Linked DNA regions of Styela clava. The protein of the gene in region 2 interacts with the protein of the main gene of each other region in a pairwise test. Links are inferred from orthologs where the notes say so. Each region holds a gene or a part of one and is shown on either strand. Other genes may lie near its edges.

What was found.
Region 1: the proteins of arf-GAP with coiled-coil, ANK repeat and PH domain-containing protein 2-like (region 2) and ras-related protein Rab-35-like interact in a two-hybrid assay, tested with the Caenorhabditis elegans proteins (2 studies listed by BioGRID). The link is inferred for Styela clava from reciprocal best matches to the Caenorhabditis elegans genes cnt-1 and rab-35.

Annotation. Positions count from the first base shown.
Region 1 is NC_135252.1:15,515,361-15,524,940, reverse strand, and holds the start of ras-related protein Rab-35-like, read right to left. Parts: upstream 3,756-9,580; 5' UTR 3,636-3,755; coding exon 3,584-3,635; intron 3,498-3,583; coding exon 3,447-3,497; intron 3,264-3,446; coding exon 3,140-3,263; intron 2,744-3,139; coding exon 2,619-2,743; intron 2,528-2,618; coding exon 2,403-2,527; intron 956-2,402; coding exon 824-955; 3' UTR 1-823. Other genes in the region: deoxynucleotidyltransferase terminal-interacting protein 1-like, read right to left, coding at 8,929-9,167.
Region 2 is NC_135256.1:11,289,650-11,298,337, reverse strand, and holds the start of arf-GAP with coiled-coil, ANK repeat and PH domain-containing protein 2-like, read right to left. Parts: upstream 4,012-8,688; 5' UTR 3,973-4,011; coding exon 3,920-3,972; intron 3,742-3,919; coding exon 3,684-3,741; intron 3,391-3,683; coding exon 3,332-3,390; intron 2,740-3,331; coding exon 2,679-2,739; intron 2,344-2,678; coding exon 2,290-2,343; intron 1,607-2,289; coding exon 1,551-1,606; intron 577-1,550; coding exon 393-576; intron 1-392. UniProt on the Caenorhabditis elegans protein: GTPase-activating protein for the ADP ribosylation factor family. Regulates endosome recycling downstream of rab-10 and upstream of arf-6.

The DNA.
Region 1 (9,580 bases), on a different chromosome or scaffold from region 2:
GTCTCAACTTCTAGGAATAAAGACCCCAAAACAAATAACCGTCTCTCCGTCAATAGCTGTTTTTTGGTTTGATTTGAACCATATTATTTAAACAACCTTACAATTATGGCTTAGATTTTTTTTTTAAACACAAGACATATATAATAAATTCTTTAATTTAGGTGTTTTTCAAGTACTCTGATCTACAACAATAAGATGTGTTTTTTTGAATATTTAAAGCACTTCCCAGCAAAGATAATTCGTTTATTAGGAGAATGTCGTCTTATGAGAAATGTATAGTTAGAGACAAATCAATTAGAAAAAGTTGAAAATATAGTAATCGATGATGAAAAAAAGCACTGGAGCTTCATGAATTAAGTCTCCATTCTATAAATACACTACAAACTGCATTGTATAGACATGATTTTTCTATGAGTGTGAGCTGGTCAATAAGCATTATCAAATTATGTTTCCAGCGTCAGGTTCTATTTTTGATACAATGTGTATGCAACTTTCTATGTGTTGAATAATGAATTATATCTGTTACTTTATGCAGTTATAACATGTGGCAAACCCCAGGGTACTGATTTTGAAATAATATAATATAGAAATTGAGTGAAAAGAATTGATGTTTCTTATATTAAAAGACCTAATATCATTTAAATGGCTCTTTCAACCATACCTCCAACTCCACTGTGATATTTTTCTAATATTTTTACTCCACTGTAATAATATTTTGGGTTATTCAATAATATAGTCAGCTTCTGACAACTGGGGCACATATGGTGATAATTGGGGCCCAGAAACCAGATTTTATATATAATTCGGCGAATAACCAATCTCATTAACAGCATCCACCCTTCTTTTTCCCCTTTTTCTTTGTATCTAGTTTAACTGTTTCAATGTTTTGATCTCGACCAGATGCCTCCGCAGATTTCTTGGTTCTTAAAACTTGTCGTGTAACTTCAGTGAACATCTGAAAAGTATAATAGTAAAATAAACTAATCATGTTTATTGAATAAAACTTAGGCATAGCCTCATTAACCAGTCATTCTGTGCTTATATTTATGACAGCATAATATTTCATACTTCTAGTATTCCATTATTATAAATAAGGCTCAAATTGGTGTATACCAATTAAAACTGGTATAACTTGAAATAATGTTAATAATTTGACGTACAGATTTGATGATAAAGAGAAAAATTGCGTACATACAATAGTAGTTATTTAGTCTTGTTTATTTATTTACAATTACACATAGTTTATACCTATTTATCTGTTGTTCAATAGTGAATATCAATCACTTTAGACAAACCTTGCATTAGTAAAACTTCAAATTATTCAACCGGGTATGTGGGATGACTGAAAACCAGTCATCATCAAGTAATGAGTAATATAAAAGGTTATTTGTGTCAATACAGTAAAGTATGCCGAACATGAAAAAAGGTTAACTAGCTATGTCTTCCTAGTGACAAAAATACTATGTGACAGTACATTTTAAAATGGATAATTGAACAATGATTCTTATGGTCATAAGTCAGTAAACTATCATTTTAGGCATAACATGTACTAAGTCATCTTGAACCGTTTTTTTGTCAACATTTATTGAACCAACATGGTATAGCTCCTATGATCAAAAAGCACATAATTTGTATAATGTCATAATTTGTAAATGTCATAAATTGTATATCTCCTGCCTATGCTATAACTAATAGATCTCTAAGGTATATAAGAATCACACGAAAAATTTACTGTAACCTACGAGACAAGACCGCCTCAGCCATCACACCAATTACTTCCTGCTATGACCTGACTTGTTGATAAAGCAACAGGCAAAATCCTGAAACTTCTTAAAATGTGAAAATTTCCTAATGAACTTACTGCAGTCAATTATGATTACTGATCAAAAAAGGTCAGTCAGCAGAATACAATGGCATGATTATGGCATCATGAGATGGCAGTGATTCACAAAACTGGTCTTGACTAATTTGAAATGTATTACATTTCCATAAGAGATTCATACTATTACGAAAAACAATTTTGTACCTTGTTTGCTAAGAGAAATTGGACATCAATGTGAATTCTTTGTGCAAGTAGAAAATAGATAGTTTTTAAAATCTATACAGTATAGCATAAACTATACACATATTATATGGATACAAGTTCAACTGAACTGAATTGGAGTAGATTTCATTTCCATGGAGGATTCAGAATATCACAATAAACAATCGTATTTGCTGAGAGAAACTGTAATGTATAGTTAAATATTGACACAAGTATGCCAGTTTTATCTTATTAGCTGGTGATATTCACACACAAAAAACAGTAGCCTACATGGTTGTATTCTAAAATTACTTTCAACATGCCTATCAAATATGCAGAAGCTTATAAACTTTTCAAACTGTATGATCGGCAGACTCACCTCTTCAACATTTTTATTTTCTTTCGCACTTGTTTCAAACAATTTTATTTTAATTTGATCTGCAAATTTTTGAGCATCTGCTGTTTCTACAACTTTTTTGTCAGGATCATCATCTTTATTACCAACTGTAGAAAGAAAAACAATCTTCAAATTAATTTTCAATACAAAATTGTTGATTTCAACCGATTCTACTTGAAGAGATTAAGGAATACTAACCTAATATTTTATTGACGATATCACAATTTTGTTCAATTTCATGAAGCCACCTCTTGACATTGACAAATGATTCTGCACTTTGCACATCATAAACAACAATAACACCATGTGTCCCTCTGTAATATCTGTTAAAATCATTAGTACAATAAAACTGTTAATGTCCGACTGCGATATATTTTGTTACATGTTTTCAATATAATACACAGAGATACTGGAATAAAATACTGATCAAAACAGAAATAGATTTGTTTATTCCAATTTTTTTAAAGACCTCGCTCTACTTTTCTGAATCTTATTTCGTAAAATTTGACCTACGGTAAATATCATTTAGAATGAAAAAAATTAAAATTGGAACTAAATTTTGATTACCCTTATAATTTTTAAAAAAGTGTTATTTACTCATTACTACACGGAATTCAAAACTAACTGAGATGCATTTTTAAACATTCATAATTGAAAGCCTGAATGAGTTAATAAAACAACAGCTCACGAATTGTACTCGCTACAATTTATATTCTTACGTTGATGTTATTGTACGAAATCGTTCTTGGCCTGCTGTATCCCAGATCTGTAATTTGACTTTTTCGCCTTCAATTTCAACTGTTCTGATTTTGAAATCAACTCCAATTGTTGTAATATAACTCCCTGTGTGTGGCATTCAATAAATAACACAAAGTGCAAAGTTGAATCAATGTATCACAATCATACACAAAGCATTAAGAACGTAAATTACACTCAAATAAATTAACTCTTTGAAAATTGAACATAATTCAAAATAAAAACCTAAGGATGAAGCTTGGAAACAAATTAAACTGGAGATATAAATACCTGAAAATGTGTTGTCTGCAAACCTCAACAACAAACTGCTTTTGCCGACACCTGTGAAAATTTACACTTTAGTCATCAACTTTTTACTTGGTATGCATAAAAAACAACACAACAAACGATAGACACAAAGTACTTACCACTATCTCCTATAATTAAAAGCTTGAACAAATGATCATATTCCCTTGCCATATTTCATATGGAGGTGTAATTAGGGAAACCTCCCTTTCAAATTATATAATAAGATAACAGGCTTGACAAAAAATAATCCAATGCAATAACTTCCACAAAAACCTGGTAAAATTGTATAAAAAGTGCAGTTGTTAAATATTCAGAATCAATCAAATACTTGCCATGTCAATTGTTATATTTATCATTGACTAGGTGGAGCATTACTGTACTGTACTGTATTCCAGTGTTTTCATCAATAATATCACCTTATATCAGAAGAGTTACTTGTTCAGAGCCATGTTCAGGCTAAGGCATTGTCCATGCATATGAAAACAAATAACTGGCCAACTACTCCCATACCCAACATGGATCGGTAACAGGACGAGGGGCCATGGTTTGACATATGATTAAGCCTTTTAATCGACTTTCCTCTACTCTGGGATAAATATGTAAATCCTATTCTAATTCCTGAGCAATGAAATTGTACGACGAAACGACAATTATTCCATACAGGAGTTGTATTCAAAATCTTTGATCATTCTTATACTGTCCCGAGTTTCGTACCTAACTTACCTAACGTAGGCGTAGCATAACAATTTTTTCACGTGTCAATCCTAACCCCCACCTGACCACACCATCCAAAAACTACGTCACTACGACGTAATAGAGCCCTTCAAACTATGCGAACCGTCATTCAAGACGCGCAGACGAGAACCCGAAATCGAACAGCTATTTCTCTCGTTTTCTCGTCGCAACGATCCCGATAGGAGAGAGATCGCTGACGTTAGTCAGCTCTTTATCGTCGGCGCCGATGTCATTTCGGGCAATCGTACGAGTATTTGGCAAGCTCTATGACGGGATTGTGACGACGTAGTGACGTAATTTTTGGATGGCGTAGTCAGGTGAGGGTTAGGATTGACATGTCAAAAAAATGTTATGCTACACCCACTAGAAGTACGTTAGGTACGAAACTACACGAGACCCGTCCCGAGCTTAGCATGTTGAAAACTAAAGATGTGCCGATATCACTTTATTGCCAATACTGATATCAATACTGCTATATTTTTAAATTGTCTATATTATCAACCTAATTCCAATATGTAATTAACATCAATATGTATATAAAATGTTCTTGAATGTACAGAACAATGGGATAGAATATTTGTTTGTTTATTGAATTTACGATGAACATTTTTTCAACTAAAGTAAAATATATCCCAGAATATGAGTATGCACAACTTCAAATCTCTATTTATGATTCAAATGCATAAATGGGTTATAAATTTAGGTCAATGACTCACTATACTAACTGTAAAGAGTTTGATAAGGCTGTATAATTCCTCCACAGCAAAAATAATTCCATCTCAACAAATGGGAGCATACACTACAGTTTTCACTAACAAGTTTCAGAGTTTACAACTCTTGTCAGTCTAACTAACAATCTTCCTATTTAATCCTTTTCTTAAAAATTTGGTGAGCTTTTCATGGGACATTTCACACATTCACTTCAAGCAAAACAATAAATCTAGCTAAAACAATTCATAATGACTCATTCTAATCAATTCAATCGCAACTATAATAGTACATAAACAATTTTTAGTTTCTGGAAACTAAATTATAAAATAGCACCACCATTCGCAGAGAGATTTTAAATCAGATAAGCAGAGTCTAGATATTACATAAGTAAATTTTGGAAAATCATGCTTGTTTTGAGTTATTTATATATATCTTCGTTAAAGAAGTTGTTTATAGTTTGTTATAGAACTTATTTAGCACAGCTATAGCTTAGGCACAATATTATTATTATACTGTTTTAATTTAAATCCAAGCAAAGTCAATTAGGTTATGAACATAAAAGTTTATTTAATTAGAATTACTGCTTTTATGCCTTGCATTTCTAAGAGCAGCATGAGGAAAGCCATAAACAGTGGTCTCAACTGGTCAAAATGACCAATAATGCAGTGATTTCAAATATGGGAATTCATTACACCGGTTTTTCTCAATTCCAAGGCCAAAAAGATTTGAATGTTTTACGTGAGCATTTTAAATTTTCAGTCACATCTATACAAGCTGTAAGGTAACTATAACTATTTAAACAAATTTGACATTTTAGTGTGAAGATTTTAGCATAGACCTTTACCAAAGCCAAACATAGTACTGAACTATGTATGTTATATAAAATCCATCAGCTCTGATGAAAACATTTTCTTGCCAAAAATAATCAATGATAGTTGTAGCCTATATGGCATAGCCAACAATATGAGAATACAGCATCCTTTACATTCATAGAGCTGTAGAGGGATGGATTGCAAAAAACAATTTACTGACAGATGGTAGACTATATTCTGATCCATACACAAAATATTCTGGTAATTAAAAATATTTCACATGCATTTTTATCTCTCAGTGAAGCTGTCTGCAGTATGGAACAGAACATTTGCAAGATATAAAGAGAATAGAAAAAATCAATGGAAAGGTATTGCGGATAATGGTTCATTAAAAGGGATCAACATACAAACAGTCAACATCAAATCTCAAAAGATATTCATCCTTCTCAAAATCCTCATCAAATCTCGAAAGATATTCATCCTTCTGTTAGTTCTTACTTTGGTATTGATACTGAGATGCTAATACTAAAACCTGAAAACTGTGGGCTGTAGAGTAATCTGGTGTTAAGGGTTTTATTTTGTAATGATCAATAAATAATATTGTAAAATACTTTCGAGAATTGGAAATAATATTATCTGTTGATCAAGGTTTATATTTGACGCCAAGGATCTTCGGTTTATCGCAATATCATTGATGGATGGGACAAAATAAACATTACTGGTACTTTAAATAACAACATATATCTGTATATTCAGATATTGCTGTATCAGTGTACTGGTGTAAGTCTGAAAAGATTGAAAATTGAACTTATATTTCCATCCTTTTAGGACATTCAAATTACTGAATTAAGGCATATCAGCATATACCTGTATACCAGTATCAGATTGAATTAGTCATTATTACTGCTGTACTGTATTAGCTTGAGTGTTTTAAAAGTATAATAGCCCAAAAGTTCAATACATTTGCGCATCTCTTGTTTGGTCATTTCTGACCCTAGCCTGGTTAATTGGGTTTGTTTATTTTTTGTAACTTTTTTTTGTGTGTGTGCTGGTGGGCGGTTTTAAGGCTTTGCCCGCTCTCCAGAATTCTCCCTTTTTAATTGGTGTGTATTATGGAGTTTTCAAAATAAAGTATCTACTACCTACAGACCTATGGTTCGGCAAATAATTAAGCCGTCTTATCAGCTCCCCAGGATAATTATGTGAATTCTATCCTATACCTTAATTCTATCCAAAGTCAACAGAATCACTGTATCATAAACATAATTAATTAAAGATAATATTTTAACAGTAATTAAACATCGTTTTGTGCGCTTTACAGCTAGACCATGTAACCAAGTCCGTACCTTATGTTCGGATGTTAGCACTACAAAACACTGAAACATGAATAACTGTTTTACTATGACTAAATACTGAAATATCACATATATACAGAATAATTCAACAGCAGCCCACCGGCATTGCTTTACGACTGTACGACAGTACGATGGCCTCAGACACCCAATACGCCTATGAAATGACGTCATTCAATTCCAGTCCCTTCGCGAACCTCGCTGGGTCCGAATCTCATTCAGGAGTCCGGAATTGTCCACGTTCACTTACTAAAAAGAAAGACATAACTGTGTCTTGAGTTGACTCATGTCTGCATTTTATTACCGTACTAATTACTGTATCGAGTCGGATAATTTTTTGGACAGGCATTCCATGATATCGTGCGACACCTGACCAGACTTGTATCTTGACAGTTGAGAAGCGACCAATTCAGGTTTCTTGCACTTTTCCAAGAAATTCGAAGGAAGTCTCGCAGACGCAGAAACTGTTACACCCAACTCTTAGCTGATATTGTTATAGACATGACAGATATTTTTTGATACATCATTGGTGATTGACTTCCATGGTCTTTGGTCCTATCGCCATCTCCCAGTCTGTACCAAAATGAGTTCTGTTCAATTTTTTATCACTTCGAATATGCATTTTGGTTGAAAAAAATAATGAGCCTCTATATTTCTCCTCATACACGACATATCTGATGAATCAGTAATTTATTTTTCCACCATAGCGAATAAAAAATACAAAAAATGAAGTAAAATGGTACTTCAGGGTGAAAGGAGGCGCGAGACACCAAGACTGGTTATCGAGCAGGGACACTTAATTTCGGGTGGAAAAAAGTTAAACAACGGCGATTCGTGGTGGACATTCGTCCCTGCAGCTCGCGGATTTGAAACCTGTGATAAACCACATTGTACATTTATGTATTGGCTATGTACAATTATTTATAAATGCCGGACTTATAGCCGCCGAATGAGATCTCATGTTTACGACCATCCGGTAGGTGCCCGTCAAAGTCCCAGCTGAACAAATAATTGCGCCTAACCTTTTCCCATGAGCAAGAAAAATTAGATCCAATACACGTCGCAAGCGTGAGGCATATTCTTCTCCCTGCTCTGGGCAAGTACGATAAGATGGTTCAAATTGCTGCTAGCAACTCTGGCACGTTCCTCTACTAACAAGACGGAGCATGGAGCACATGTTTACTATTCAATGACCCTTGCCAACTGATAGACGCCAGTTTAAAACAAAATTTCGAATAGACGGACACATAATGCTAATGCCGACGCGCGATGGTAAACGGGTATAACGCTTAGTACCACGCACAAACCGCAGTGCATAAGCTTGCCTCACAGTCGGCCAAACACTAATCTTAATTAAATTTTTGGTGAATGAATTCTACAGAAAATCACAACACGGCTGAATGTAATAAATTGCACAATTTCCTCGTAGACTGGGAGACAGTACTGGTTAAAACATATATAAATATAAAGTACATATCGAGAATTTCGCATTTTCATCATTACCAATATTTCAACAAATTTTTTTTTTTGAGGCACATAACGTCAGGATGAAAAATTTAGGTCCTATATTTCTTCCAGTTTCTACACTTAATGTGCTACTGAAAAATATCCAAGAATCATACAAAATTAGCTCACAATATCGAGAACAATGTTAAAAAATAAAACAACAATAAAATTGAGCAAATCATAAGATTTATAAAAGTTATTGCCTTATGAAGCCCTATCTTAAAAGTTTTCAGTCATACCCGTCCAAATCAAAATTAGAAATTACTCCTCTCAAACACCTATACCATTGTTTTTCAAACATATTATGCAAAAAGAAGGCTCGCATTGAGTTGAATCGAATTGAAAATATTAGCCAGTCGCATGACTACGTCCAGTCCTATCTGGCTCTGAATCACTATATCCAGATAAACTTTCTGCATCAGACTGTCTAGTGAATGTAACTCTTCCATTACTAGTTTCATCCATCTCTTCTGATGATGCACATATTGCAGCTGCAGCTCGCTCGGCTGCTGGTCTTGTAGAGTGACGAGGTGAAGTTTGACCTACACGTTGTTGATGATTTTGATACGACTTCACCGAAGTATGTTCTGATAATAAGATATAATAAATTGAAGAGATCCATATAAATTATGGGTTTTATTGAGGTGTATTGATAAATGATTATCGTCATTGCAAACGAGATAATAAAATAGGATTTTATGCAGTGGCAAGTCAGAGAACAAAGTGAAACAACTAATTTAATGCCCTAATTTCGATGTTCCACAAATATGTGTACCAATATAAAAGTAACTAACTTTGTTCGCCTACTTTACATCAAGTTGTGTAAAGGGACTGAAACCTATGGGCAAGGGGATATTCACTTGGCAAACAGACAGTTTCCGGAATCGTAATAAAACTAAAATAGAGAAAATCGGTACAAAATTATGGCCGGAATCAGAATAAAATTATGCCTTAACCCTAACTTGGTACTCTACAAGAGTATCCTAATTTCTCCAAATAA
Region 2 (8,688 bases):
GTTAGATAATATTGAATTTGACACCTTCAAATGTAAAAATATAAGCAGTCTGTGTCTTAATGCTGGTAAAAATAAGGTTTCATAATGACAGAGTTATTATTACAGACGGTTCAGAGTTATTTCTATACGCAGATAGGCATAAAATTTGATAGAATGTGAGTGAGCACTGCCATGCTTGAAATTATGAAAAACACTAACATGTTTTGCATAAATTTAAAAATTTACATACATAGTTCTTTCTTCCGGTTAATGGAAAATGTACTATATTAAATGTATATATTGAACTCAAATGTTCAAAAGAAAACAAGTATGAACCATTAAAAAGATTAAAGAACAACATTAAATTATATCAAATTTCATGTCATGATAAAAGCACATATTCTATCAATTACCTGATAAACATATTCCATTGTAACATTTCTGAAAGTAGTTTTATGATTAGCGAGAGATGATTCTGATTCTTCAATTTCATGAGGTTTATATCGACTGACTGATGCATGTTTACTCAATGCATTATCAAAGTCGTTTGAAACTTTATCGAAAGTTTTCTTCAGATCTTGATTTCCTTTGACATCTCTGAATAAGGAATTAAACAAAAATAAATGACAAAATACAATTAAATTCGACAATTTAACATAGAAGGACTTTAATGTCTTGCAACATATCAGTTACTGCTTGAATCTTACATATTACCAATATTTTATGCCATGGCTTGGAAATTAGTTCTCCCTTCCTCCTAGTGAGTCTTCACTCAGACTTTCAATATTAGCTATTTAACACATATGACATAAATTACCAATATATATATATATATATATATATTCACTTTTCTGAAACAGAAATAACCTATTTAAGTTGTTACACCTGAGTGAGATTGAGGGTATGGATTACGCACCGACTGCAATCAATAGCCTACTTTAGCTTATATATTTCAGATTAGATTAGATAGAATGTTACAACATATGAATGTCTGAAGTACTAGAAGCCAACTTTATCCATATATAGAGAGACAATTTGAACCGCTTCTTACAAAACAGAAATTTTCCTATATATTTTTGTATAACATAAATTGTGATTAAATTAGAACTGCCTTGTTATGACGCTGTGTCATGCAAATTCCCATAATCATCACCATGGCAATGCAAACAGAATTATTCATACTGCTTTTAAAATGTCTATTCAAGTGTGTCTTCATCAGCAGGCAAACGGGTTAATGTACAAAGTCAAATTTACAGATTATCCTAATTAATTTCATCTATATTTATATTATCTATATTCAAATGAATATGTTTTATTCAATTGTTATGTAGTAACTTATGTGGTAAATTACTATGAATAGACATTTGAATTGTAGACAAAACATATATTGTTTGCATGCTAAGATTTGTGTATACCCACTTCAAGGAATATAATTTTGATTTGTGTTACTACCATAATATAGGTCAAGGCATGAATGCTATAGGTATAAAAGCAATTCCTTAAATAAAGTAGTATTGAGATAGAACATTTCAAGTTACAATACAAATCTTTTCCTGTAAACTATTACTCACGTTTTCAGGAAGTGTGTCATACGTGTGTTTATCGATTTCTGTGCTTGATCCAGGATCTATTGAATGAGAAAATATAGATTTGAACGATTTATTCTTTTGTGTTTAGTTATAGAAGTTTGGTCCAAGCTTGGACAATCATATCATAGTAAAAGTAGATTGAAAGCATTTTTGTAATGTAGAATTCAAATTTTCATGATCATGAATGAATTCATGACATCTTGCAACTTTCGAAAGCATTGACTCTGAATGAATATGATTTACTACTATTACTACTTACTAGTAATATCAATTGTTGAAATGTTTGTGAATTCATTTTGTTCATCAAGATAAAGTTTATTAAGGAAAGATAAAGAAATTATCACTCATTGTTTATCAGCACTTATGGTAAGTTATCAATGTATAAAACTTAAAGTAATTTCTTTTTACAAGAATACTTTTGGATAATTGAGGTGTATTAACCTTGCAAATGCGAAACAATTGCAAAAACGCATTTTCTAGTATATTATCAGTCCTTGTAGTGTAAAACCGAACAAAAAACCTCAGTATTAATAGTATTTATTTCATCACCATGCAAGAAGTGAATAGATAATGAACATTCATTTACACAAAAGAAAAAAAGAAAACAGTTTGACAGAACAAGGGAGTCACATAGACTGTGAAGGTTATCAGAGTCGTGACGTTTGCATTGCATTAAATTGCATTCAAACTATTGTAAAATAGAACACTTGTTTCAACTTACCGAGTGGAAAGAATTTATTTCTTCCAAAACATGTAAAAACTGGTTGATAATATTCTGCAAAAATAAAATTATAATTACTGTTACTGAGAGCACAATACATAATTTAATATCACTCAGAATACATTATAATATTCCACTATCTATGTGGAACACAAGTTCGGCAAGAACATTCGTTCTGAGTTTACTTAACTTCAAAATATCAGTGTGAGTGGATCACAATGAGTACCAAGAATTATAAAGCAAAATTGATATATCATATGGCTTTGATTTTTAATGACATAAAATTACATCTAAAAACTTGAAGCATCAATGTTATTGATATTACTAACTTATAAATGCTATTCTTTATATTAATGAATTAGAGAACAGGAATTCATTTCAAAAAGTACCTTTAAAAACTCATCATCTTTATAATATCCTCTCAATTCTAAAATAACTTCTTTCAACATTCTGTAAAATCAATAATACAAAATGAACTTTACTTCAAAATTAAAAGTCTAGTCCCATTGAAATCTAATAACAATAAAGAGGCAATGTTTTAAGGATTTAATTCATATATATAAAAATAAATAGAAATTGTTCCTTAAATACAGGCTTATGATAATGAATCAAATCATTTTGTTCTAGTTCAGTTGTTAATTATGCTTATGTCTTATGGGGTGTGATTAGGCCAACAATCACACTCCAAAGTCACAGCCATTTAAAAAATGACTCTGTGAGTTTACTCAAATATTATGACTCAAAACTCTGACTCCTTATTTTGGGTTGTCTTCATCTCTCAAGAAAATTAATTTTGAATACAACGATGTTAACAGATGCAAGCCAACTTCAATAGTCTATTGTGAATTCTTGATAAACATAACGCCTTTTTGTACCAGTTGGACAATTTTACTTTGATTCACACTCTTACATATCTGAGATTACGACTCCGACTCTAGAAGTTTTAAAACACAATTCCGACCCGGATCCCAGGGACTTATAAACCACTCTTGAAGGTTACGTAATTGAGCAAGATCATCTTAACAATTTGTAACAAACTTACAAATTTGCAGAACTGTAAAGTTTTTCAGCTTCATTTGCATAGTTGTATTGCTTTAAAACCTGTACGGATTCAATAACACAACAATTACTTGTAGTCATACCTTAATAGATAACACTCTCCATTACAAAATATAGGTTCAACCACTTATAAAATAGTTTTCTGGCTTTTGTTTATATAAACAAGAAAATATAATCCAAATTTTATGAGCCACTTAAGTAATAGTAAATGCTATCACTGTATTATGTGAATAAATATACCGAAAATATGTCTGTATGTGGAACATTAAACACAAGTATGTGGAGAATCATCATATGATTCTAACGTTGTCATCTCATATTTTAAAACCAATTACCTTTTCCAAAAGACCCTCGAGAGCACATGTGTCATTTTCTGAGCTGTGTAGCAATTCTCTGAAACATAAAATAATAGGTCATTCATTTAAATTTTTTACTCTGGAAACTTGACCAGAACAATTGAAACATATTCAAATAGCCATACCGGTAGACTACACATGCAAACACTGAAACATGTGCCCTAAACATATTCAGCCAATACATTCAATATTAAAATATGGTGATACCACTTTACCTGAACATCGGAGAATCCTTGACACATTCATCAAATTCAAGTGCGGGTGCCATTGAAATTCAATTTACATAAAATCTATTTTACTATAAATATAAACTTGAAAATAAGGTGTTACACACATATTTATCCCAGAGGGAAGAAAAGGTTGTTAATAATAAAACAATAACTGAATACAGGTATATTAAAGTGAAGCCAATATTTTCCGAATAATCAGATACGGTATTCATGTTATGCAGTTATTACAGTATTACTAGCGAGCATCTGACACCGGTAGCATCAACTTTCTGCCATTGTTGTCAGATTGTAGTCTAATTGCTTAGAGTCCGGTAGTTAAGAAAGCCAAAAGTCAGTCACTTCAATAAAAAATAACGGAACTGGCAGGCTGGGTATCTTTGAAAAACAGGCGACCTACCCAGCTGGCCGACTTCACTTTTTCGCTTTTGTATCAAAATTGATATCTTGGCGATTCTTTATTCTTCAAAAATTTACGCCCCGTCGACGCCACCTAGCGGAGAAACTAAGTGGAAACTGGAAAGCAGAATATATTTTTGGGTACAGTAATTTATGTTTTCCCGATCATCAATTTCCTTATTTATTTTCGTAACAAGGGGCCCAATCGGCAATAAGTTAATAATGACGTAATCACTGGAATCGCTGTCATTATGTCTTCTGGGGACCCTAGTTACAATAATCCAAAATTAATACCACAAACGATGCGATAGACTAGGTAAAAATAAGCTATCAGTACCTGTAAGCGGCGACCATTGTAATAAAACTGATTGTTTTGAACTTGTAAACCAGTTTGGAAGCGCCAACTCTCCAAAACACTCTGAAAATCAAAGTTGAAAATGTTGTATTTATCATTACAAAGTATGATAAAGTATTGATGTTTCCCCGACCCTTGACCCCAGGAAAATAGTCTCAATACTTTACTACTACAAAACTTTTGAGACTTATTTTGAGAGTGTTTTAGAGAGTTAATGTTCCAACCAGAGTTGGATCAATTGTAATTTGTAATTGATGTAAATAATAATTACAGTTTTTCATATAATTGTAATATAATTGAGGCATTTTCATTCTGTGTAATTGTAAATGTAATTTTCTGAAAATTTTTGTCTCAATTACACTTTCAATTACACCAGGGGTCACCAAACTACGGCCTCCTTTCATCTGGTCCGCAATAAGACGAAAAAGGGCGAAATATTTTTTCAAGTGGCGTTATCCGAGAATCGCCTTCCTTTTTTATTTCGTAACATTAGTCAATCAACAAGATGCGAAAAAATGACGTAAAACAATACCTTATTTTAAGATTTCGAATTCTATTCGTTAGTATTTAATGGTGTGTCGGAAATTTAAGTTTGAATCAAATAAGTGAATCATCATATTGCCTTCTTAGGAGTTGTAGTTCAATCAATAGTAGTAATCAAAAATTAGTCAAGAAATAGCTGTGATAAAATAGGCTGAATCCATGGGAGCACTGGCTGTCTGGTTTGAATCTGTAAATTCTTGCTACGTTTTGTTAAACTATATATTTGTAATTGTAAAGTAATTGTAATTTGATATTTGTTGCACGGAGTAATTGTAATGTAATTGAAATATTTAAGCGCATAACTGCAATTGTAATTGAACTTAATTAATGTAATTGATCCAACTCTGGTTCAAACCATCAGTTTTATTAAAATATTCAATCACCTGCCGCCTACAGGTACTGATGGCTTATTTATATCTAGTCTTTCGCATCTTTTTCGGGACTAATTTTCTGATCATTGCAGCTAAACTAAAGTTCCTCAGAAGGCTATGCAATTTAAGCGTTTAACGACTGACACTTTTTAACAGTATTGAAGTTACGGCGAAATGCAATTTGAACTTTAAACGATTGGGATTTTCAACAGTATCGAAGTAACGGTGAACTGCTATTTGAACGTTTCACGACTGACGCTTTTTAACAGTGTTAAAGTTGGTACCAATGATGAGTAGTATTCATTGTGCTATTAAAATGAGAAACTCTCAACGAAGACCGAGGGGAAGCAGTAGTTTTTCTAACCATTTACAGTACCGGTACCGTCAAAAACCTTTGACTCCGAGGCACCTCTACAAATAATTTGTATTAATTGTCAAGAGGTCATCACACAAATTTTCAAAGTGAAAAACGAATCACATAGAGCCCACAGAGAGTTTTGAAATAAATAGGAGTGATTGCCTTCTATCGAAAAATACATATTTCGAAGCAATTGATGCAGTAGCGATTTTTTCCATACGGTAACAATGAAAAGAACAATACCAACAAGAACAACAATAAACGATCCATAGGTCCACTTCGAGTCCAATGAAAATAGGCTACTGCCACTAATAAAAATAAATCTCGCTCTTGTTGTCGAAATTCCGTTTTAGGTGATTTCTTCGTAACTTCTTATTTTTGCATTGCACGGGAATATTAAACAACGTTTGAGATTACATATTGCAAAATTCCATTCATTACGGAATACCAGAGAATACATTTCGGTACCATCCAGAATTTCCAAGTGCTCCAGTACTGAATCTGCGACGTCCCACGAGATTTCAATTTCCGGTATGGCAGAAGATATGTTTCTATTCAAGATTTCACCTATGCGCAAGCAAAACTCAAATATATGACATAGCCTACTTGGCCGAATCAAATTGCAATTAGCGATATGGGTTAATTCTCGTTATTTCTGAATTTGTCAATATCGTCCATAGCCCATCAAGTGGCGTTTCTTTCTGACTACAATTGAAGCGCGATTGCATTATTATAATCTAAAATTTCCACTTGATATATATGTATTTACATATTTGGAATAATGCTATTTAATTTTTAAAAACGAGGAAACAATTTTAGAGCTCTCGGATTCTTTATTTTGGTTGACATATTAAACTAATGCCAAAATTAGCTCAACCTATGGAGGATGTGAACGGGGCGTGTAGGCTACTACACTCATGTAATTATATTTACATTAATCAGATCATGTGCAAACTTGTTCCGTGCTGTTGCCATGTGCTCTCTTACAGACATATAACGTCATAGCAAGAGTCGTAACATCCCGTCCCGTCTTTCTTATCTGTCTCATTAGTATGAACAATTTAAAACAAATTCGTAATGGTAAATTGCGTAAAAACTCATAATGCGATGCAAATTCAATCTTTACACTTGAACGTCAAATTAGAACGTTGTCACGTATTTATCGAATCAATGCTAACCGTCATCTACTAGTGTAATGGGAGAATGTCGTTATTTATCAGACTACGAAAGCTGACTAACAGTGCAGATTTTTTTAACAGTGTAAACTTTTATTTATTGAAAACGCTTCTGCTCTGAACGGTAAATATATTGTAAATATTTGTATTAAATCAAGGCAAGGACTTATGTTACGTCTTTGGTTTAGTATGTGATAAGGCTCTGTCAATGTTATGTTAAGCATGACTAAAGATTTATTTAAATATAAGATTTAATTTAGAATATCTGGTGTACTGTAAGGAGCATTTGCACTTACGTTTTGTTTTGTTCGAGTAACTGTTAGGTGATTTAAATATTCCACCTGTATTAGAGAATTTGAGGGTTGCGACGGATATAATATTATCTCAATTCCAAATAGTTGCGACGTGATTCAAAAATGCCGACATGTTTGCTTAGAATGAGTTTTTTACGGCTAGTTTCTCATAATTTGCTTGTGGGTGACGATGAGTCTGAATAAACTGTTCTGTTATCTGTTGAGGACATTTGAATTTCGAATACAAACATTTTCCGCTTAGTTTAAGTATACCAAAGTAGTAGTCAAAGTCCAGTATATTATAATAATTGTTGTATCGTAGGGTTGACCATTTTACTTTGAGCTGCATAACAGATATGTATATTACAAGGCAGTACATTGGGTATATTTGTACAAAATTCAATTCCGACGGAACCAATGGCATGCCCCAACCCGCCTACTATAGATATAGCATTTATTATTTAGCGGGGTAGCGGTCGCAAAACTTTGGCGACAAGCGTAAACATTCTGCTTTCAGCTCTCCTGATTGTGACTTCTTGTCGCCAGCAGATAACACGACTCCGCTGTTTACAGCGTGATTATGTGCACATTTTGGTATAGTTTCAGATCGTTCTGCTATCTAAAAATAAATTGATAATAGCAGTATCTGGAGATAGCTTGATTCCCTTAGATCAGGGGGCGACAACCTACGGCCCGCGGAATAATATAATCCGACCCGCGGCGCTTCACTGAATTATAGTAACAAAGCAGCTGTTTTAACATTATGTTCTTTACGTAACAGAATTTATTGTGAGACACGTGTAGACTAAATTATATTATAATCTAACAAGTATAAAATTCACAATTACTCGTTTAATAAGCCTATAATTTAATTATAATTAAACAAAATGGCAACGAAAAGCAGAAAAGTTGATACTAAGTGCAAAGGGTTCAATGGCGCCGGAATATTCAAATGAAATTTTTTGAGATGCAATGCAATGAGGGAATAAATCTATATTATAATCGAAAGATGTATCACTGCTTGTTTTTTATTATAAAAAGAATTATCCGTTCGGTTTTCAACTTCCTAGAAATATGTGTGCCCAATGACTTGCAACCCTTAATTTTGGCCCGCGAGTGACAAAAGGTTGCCGACCCCTGCCTTAGATGTAAGACAATATATATCACTATACATTTGGTATCGATTAACCTTTTACCGTGAATAGAAATATATATTAGTTAAAGTTTTGATATTTGTTTATACAGTATTTTATACTAATTTAC